Macaca fascicularis: one gene and its partner. The protein of the gene in region 1 interacts with the protein of each later gene in a pairwise test. Links are inferred from orthologs where the notes say so. Each region holds a gene or a part of one and is shown on either strand. Other genes may lie near its edges.

Region 1 (4,355 bases):
CTCTGGGTTCAATTGATTATCCTGCCTCAGTCTCCTGAGTAGCTGGGACTACAGGTGTATGCCACCACACCTGGCTAAGTTTTGTATTTTAGTAGAGATTGGGTTTCACCATGTTGGCCAGGCTGGTCTCGAACTCCTGACCTCAAGTGATCCGCCCACCTTGGCCTCCCAAAGTGCTGGAATTACAAGCATGAGCCACCACACCCGGCTGGAATTTTCTACTTAATATTTTCAGGCTGTGGTTGATCATAGGTAACTGAAACTGTCAAAATCAAAACCTCAGATAAGGAGAGACTACTGTATTTAGTGCCTAATATATGCAATTCAACAGTTCCTCCATTATAATTCCTCCTCTCCAGAGACTTTTAATTTACCAAAGCCATGCACAACAATAGACAACACTTTCTGAGTGCTTACTGTATGCCAAACACTTGCCTAGATGATTTACTTGTAATAACTCGTTTAATCCTCATAACACTGAGGACACTTTTGCACTGGCTCCACAGAAAAATATAAATATCACTATTTTTACATATGATTTGAATATACCCAAGAAAACAAAGTTGCAAATATTCTTCCAGATGCAGGTGAGATAAAAATTTTTAAACAGGTCAGACGCGGTACGGTGGCTTACACCTGTAATCCCAGCACTTTGGGAGGCCAAGACGGGAGGATCACTTGAGCCCAGGAGTTAGAGACCAGCCTAGGTAACATAGTGAGCCCCATCTCTACAAAAAATGAAATAAATTAAGCCAAGTATGGTGGCATACACCCATGGTCCCGGCTACTGAGGATACTGAGGGAGGAGGATAGATCACTTCTGCCCAGGAGGTTGAGGCTGCGGTGAGCCATGATTGTGCCACTGCACTCCACCCTGGGCAACAGAGCAAGATCCTGTCTCAAAAATAAAATAAATAATAATTTTTGAACAAAGGAATAACACAGTCAGATTTTATTTCTAGTAAGGAAAGGATCCAAGATGGTTTTAAATGAGGATTCATTGCAAAGCTGCCAGAAAGACTTTTGAAATTGTGATATAATCTGAAAACCAAAAAGTAGCAGGTTTATGTAAGACGATGCAGCTAAACTACCACCTCCCAAAAAGACTCACGTCAGATTAACTTTGATGTTTTACATAAATGCAATAAACATTATACATATTTGTTCAGCCTCATTTATTGGCACATGTGTTTCTCTCCATGGATAACTTAAAAACTGGCAATGTCGTTCTTTACTATTTTGAAGCTCAGGTACATAAGAAGCCATGGCCTAAAGTTAATTAAAATATATAGACATAGCAAATCAATTGTGATCTCTACAAGTTAAGCTTTCTGATGCTCTTCACAGGTAGCCTGAAGCAGAGCTTCATACAGAAGTATTACTCTTAAGTGTAACAAAGATCAAGACAATCTTCACATGAAAGCAAGGGCAGTTATGTCTACAGACACATTTACTACCCTAAAAGCCAAGCTCGATAAGTTGCACAACATAATTTCCATAGCTAAACCAAGTTTGTTTAATTTGAATGGCAAGACCTAAAAGGTATAATATAAAGGAATTACAAGACAGAACATTAAAAGACTTTTTTCTTCCTCAGGTGGAGAGTACTGTATTTTTTTTATACCTTTCTTTTTCCCCTCTCCCACAACGTTATTAAATTCCTTAAAAGAACAGACCATCTTTGTTCCTATGCTGCAATCTCAAGATCTATGAATAAAGCAGGCACCCAGTAAATACTTGCTAATTTGTGTAATTGACCAACTCTTGACAATTCAATATAACAGACTCAACTATCAAGTTAGTTAGAGTTTAAAACAAAACCGTTGTGTGCCCTAGTGAACGATGTAAAACACAAACAGCAGAATCCCAAATCTTCTAATCATTTGTGTTGCCCTAAATACAAAACGGTCTCATAGGCCGAATACAGGTCGTAAACCAACATCTCACCTGAGTTACCTTCTCTCTATCCACCTTCTAAGTCAATAAATAAAAAATTGAAAACATTCTGAAAAGAACCCTCTGCTGCCTGAGAAAAAAATACACCACACATTTAGAGCCAAAAGGTTGCCTTAAGGGGGCAAAGAGTGAAAAATTCTCCTTTCTAATACTTTATCAGAATTCCAAGAACTACGCAAATTCAAACACGTCAAAGCTCCTGTTTCTCCATCGATAAAATGCAGAAAGAAAAACGTGCGTGCGTGTGTGTGTGTGTGTAACAGAACCTCACCTATTGGGATAATTAACATCAGAAAAAGCTAAATTCTACTACTGATTAAAAGTTGGCTTGTCATTTGTCTTGCCAGTTGATCTCTCTAAAGTACCTATCAATTGCAGTTCCTTCCCATTGGTTACCACAGAAAGTTCTTTCCTGACCCCAAATTGCCTAGTACGTTTCAGTCACGATGCCTGGATGGAACCCACAGTTGACCAATATCTGGGGATTGAAAGGACAGGCCGGTGTTGGGGAAATGCTCACTATCCTCTGGATTCAACTGTCCTCCCAATCCCACAACCAACACAGAGCATTTCAAAAGTGCTTCGCATTCCCAAGAATCCCCCAGATGCAAATAGAGAAACTGAAAAGAAGGTGAACAGGTAGGTTCGCACCCTGAGGATGATGCCGGGAACCCTAGCATCCCCAAAAGCCCACAAGAGGAAGGCGCGGGAGCTCACAAATTGAGGGGGATTCTCACACTGTGGAGTTCTAGGGGTAAATAGCAGGGAACTTTTTTAAAAAGAAAGCAAAAGATAAAAAGAGAAAATCATATTTTTGTTATTTAAAGAGGCAGCCCACTTCCGGACCCTACCTCTCCGTGAGTGTACTTCCGGTCTCCTCCGAAACGCCCGCTTTCACAGATCAAGTTCTTGCAACCAATGAGAGCATCAGCTACTTCCGCCGGTCTGCGGGGCGTGGTCTAAATCCCGCCTTTTCCGGTGGAGAGGAGCCTATCCTAGAGTCTTAATCGCCCGACTCAGTAGGCGGTGCCGTGACAAGCCCAACCGGACGGCTGGAGAGGGCGAAAAGGGCAGACGGGGCGTGCAGCCTCTTCCGCCTGGGGCCCGGAAGGGTGATGTGGCTGCGGTATCGCCGGCCTCGCTATGGTAAGAATTGGGGCTGCCGGGTCGAGGTTAATCTTCGAGAAGGGATTGTGGGTCTAGACTAGGGCTGGAGGTTGTGCGGCAGCCCGGGGTGTGTGGGCCTTGGAGCCATGTGGTCCCTCCACGGTCAACGAGAGAGAATCAGGACGGACTGTCCAAGAAAGACTCCTGGGTCGCGGAGCCCGCCCCTCATGCAAAGTCCGCTTTCCTACTTTGTTTAGGAAAAAAAAAATGCGTTGGTGTGTTTTAACACGTTGGCTACGTAGATTATCTGGGGTCATTGAAGCTTTGAAGCGTTAGAGCTTCTCGAGTTTCCGCTTGTTTTCTTGCATCTCCTTATTTCACCCTAGGGGCTTTACTCTGGTGTTATTGTTTGAATTTGTGGGGAGGTTCCTTTGGCACCAAACTCCATACCTTCGTTTGCAGCTGTTTAGTCAATAGCCTCTCAGGACCCTTCCACATTATTCTCTCAACTTTGAAAATGCTACTTTACAAGCTATAGGTTTTAATAGTTAAGAGTTCTCTGCAAAGGCGGATTGCTTTTCTAGGGGCTTAATATACTTATTGGAGTGGTGTCTAGCCTCAGGCCTTCCTCCTCTTTTACCTCCAAGTCCATTTGCCAAATGTGTATATTTCTGGGCAAAGGATGCATGCCTGCGAATAGACCCAAAAACAACTATGACTCCAAAAAGCTTGAGTCTCATGGTGAAAAATTATGAGCCCACGTTCACGGAAGTTGCTACAGAATCCCATATAGCAATAATTCAGTTTCTTCTCTGGACGAATTTACCACCTGATAGGAAGATGGCAGTTGAGACTAGCAAGACTGTCACTCTTAATTCTTTTACATCTTTCTAAAAACTGAAGTTGAATTATTTTACTCGTAGTGCAAGTCAAAGATAACTCTTTTTATTATCTCACTATCAGACTAGCTAAAAACAAGATGCATATACTGTGCTGAAGATCATCGGTATATAAACTATCTTGTCATGCTTGTTTTTCCAAAAGTAGCATATACTTTCATTCATTATCAAGTCCTATGTACCAGGCTCTTTTCAAAAAATCAGTTTATAAGCATGGAAATATCAAGTTCACCACAACTTCTAAGTAGATGTTTACAAGTGAAAGAAGTGAAACATGAGGAGATTGACTTGCCTTGGATCACACCTAGTAGATTGTAAAGCCAGGACTCAAACATATTTTAATGTCCAGATGCCCGAAATCTTCATGTTGTTATCGATAGAAACACAACATAA
Region 2 (3,060 bases), on another chromosome or scaffold:
TGAGATATCATTAGGACATGTTATGTGATAATGTGCATTCACATCTTAGAAAAGAAAGTTATGTGTATAAGGTACTTCCAAGAGGAAAATTGACAAAAATAGAGATATTGATGTTCTTTCCTTCTCATTCCCTTTCCCAACTGTAAATTGCCTTCCAATTTTTAAAAAATGCATGTTATTATTTTTAAAAATATGGGTAACTGAGATTAGACATAAAACATGCCCTCAAGATGTTTACAGGAGCTGTGTATACAGATAAATGTAATGCAAGATTTTCCTTAAGGAACTGGTGAGCTTCCTACTATAATGAGAATTGTGCAAGTTATTATATTGCCTTTTTAGCCGTGGCTACCAAGAATCTTGGGGATAAATTTGATGCTCTATTTTTAACAATTGTGTTAAAAATTGAGATTATCATATGTGTATTCTGCTTTTTATGTTTTTGATTTCTACCTTTATTAGCATTTTATTATTGTAAACTGTCTCAAATCCTTTCTGGAATGAGTACTGATACTAAGAAAAATATAAATGTGGCCAGGCGTGGTGGCCCAAGCCTGTAATCCCAGCACTTTGGGAGGCCGAGATGGGCGGATCACGAGGTCAGGAGATTGAGACCATCCTGGCTAACACAGTGAAACCCCGTCTCTACTAAAAATATAAAAACTAGCCGGGCGAGGTGGCGGGCGCCTGTAGTCCCAGCTACTCGGGAGGCTGAGGCAGGAGAATGGCGTAAACCCGGGAGGCAGAGCTTGCAGTGAGCTGAGATCCGGCCACTGCACTCCAGCCTGGGCTACAGAGCGAGACTCCGTCTCAAAAAAAAAAAAGAAAAAGAAAAAAGAAAAATATAAATGTATTGGGCTATAAAGGTTAAAAGGACAGATATGTTACTTCCTTTGTCATTTTTCTCATTTTTCCCAATTCATTGACTTTATTTTTAAAATTATAACTATATGTTGCATGTGAACATTTTAGAAAGATATTAACCAAAGTATATACTAAAGTACATACATTAATGTTTTTAACCTATACATTTGCTGTTCATCAGGGACTGTCCTCTGCCATTCAGATTTCTAGATACAGTCTTCTTAATTGTTTCTTGAATGTTCCACACTGTCCTAGAGTCTTTCACTGCTTTATTTTAAAGCAACTCTGTAGCTCACTGTGGAAGGAGTAGGATGAGGGAAGAAATGAATTTGGAGACAGAATAATTCTAGTATTATAATATTACTTAGAAATCTGTAAATTATAATGTCTGTTATGATGGCAATCCTAGTCTTATTGAAACATGAACTGTAAGAATATCTTAGACCTATAAAACTAAACTTTCCAAAGTATCTAAGCTAACGCCCTGATGTGTCAATAAGCTTTTGCTAGGTTTGCTGTAATAACAAACATTTCTAAATTTCAGTGCCTTATAACAATAAATACACTTATTTCAGTGTATTTCTCCTTATTGCAGCTGTGAATTGGCTGTGGCCGTGTGCCATGTGTATTCTCATCCTGGAATCCAGACTGAGGGATCAGCCTCTATCTGGGACATGCTTCTTGTGGCAGAGGGGAAATGGCAATAGCAGAACCAGAGAAAGAGTCTTAAAGCATCCTTTTGGAAGTGACACACACTATTTCCACTCACATTTCTTTGGGCAATCACTGAGAAGTGAGGAAGTATAATCATATCACAGGAAGGGGCAGTGAATAACTGGGACAAAAATACATTCTACCACATGGGAAGATGGGATGTTGTGAATATGATTATGAGATTAAGGAACCATTATTACCAATCTCATGGGCCATTTTAGTTTCAGGAACCTCATGGTAGGAAAAGTTAGAATAATAAATAACAAAGCATCATTTTAGTGCCCTTTCCAGAAATCTGTAGTGGTAAGCTATGCATTAATAAAATTAATTCTCTGGATGCAGAAAGACATTTTATAGGTAGATGTCTGTCATCCCAGGTTGAGTGGCGATTGATGTGTTGTACCAATCTTCTGTTTTTCAGTGAGAAATGTTTTAGATGAAGATAATGATAATGTTGGGCAACCCAGTGAGTATGACCTGAACGACAGCTTTCTAGATGATGAGGAAGAAGACTATGAGCCAACAGATGAAGATTCTGACTGGGAACCAGGAAAGGAAGATGAAGAGAAGGAAGACGTGGAAGAGCTTTTGAAAGAAGCAAAACAGTTTATGAAAAGAAAATAGTAACTAACTTCTGTAGTCATGTGTGCCTTACATTTACTTTTTCTTTGTGGGAAAACATTTATGAACTAAGGAGGTACTTAAGTGACAGTTATTTCCTTCTTTTGATAGTTAATGACTTCTACTACTGACTCTTTACAAGTGAGACATTGAAACGTCAGCCTTCAGTATAATAGATGGAATTTTTTGTTGCCTTGCCTTTTCTTTCCTACATAAAGCCTCTGGAAATAGGAAGACGGAGAAGGTAGAGTAAAAATGGATATTTTTGATGTACTTTGTATATTGGTAATAAAAAGTAAAAGCCATAGGTTGCGCAAAACTTTGGTCTTTGTAAGTTTTTTTCCAAAGATTATCTTTATGGAGTACTCTGCAAGTATAACCAGGCAAATTACATGAAAACATGCCTCTTTTCATTGTTACTGAAGTAATTCTGTAAGCAGAACAGGATTTTTTTTTTTTTTTTTTTTTTTGAGACGGAGTCTCGCTCTGTCGCCCAGGCTGGAGTGCAGTGGTGCTATCTCGGCTCACTGCAAGCTCCGCCTCCCGGGTTCACGCCATTCTCCTGCCTCAGCCTCCCGAGTAGCTGGGACTACAGGCGCCCGCCACCTCGCCCGGCTAATTTTTTTGTATTTTTAGTAGAGACGGGGTTTCATTGTGTTAGCCAGGATGGTCTCGATCTCCTGACCTCGTGATCCGCCCGTCTCGGCCTCCCAAAGAGAACAGGATTTTTAAAATGCAGCCATTACTTAATGGCTTTTTTTTTCTAGTACCTTAGATGTGAGCTTTGCAATTTCCCTTACTACTTTTGTCCTTCGAAACTTGGGAAGATTGGTTCCAAATGGATACTGAAAATAGGTTCAA

Evidence for each region.
Region 2: the proteins of XRCC4 (region 1) and APLF interact in binary tests that used the Homo sapiens proteins (3 or more experiments, as listed by UniProt). The link is inferred for Macaca fascicularis from reciprocal best matches to the Homo sapiens genes XRCC4 and APLF.

The regions. Positions count from the first base shown.
Region 1 is NC_088380.1:86,997,684-87,002,038, reverse strand, and holds the start of XRCC4 (DNA repair protein XRCC4), read right to left. Parts: upstream 2,877-4,355; 5' UTR 2,808-2,876; intron 1-2,807. Other genes in the region: TMEM167A (protein kish-A), read left to right, coding at 3,100-3,102.
Region 2 is NC_088387.1:53,372,171-53,375,230, reverse strand, and holds the end of APLF (aprataxin and PNK-like factor), read left to right. Parts: intron 1-1,999; coding exon 2,000-2,202; 3' UTR 2,203-2,518; downstream 2,519-3,060. UniProt on the Homo sapiens protein: Histone chaperone involved in single-strand and double-strand DNA break repair.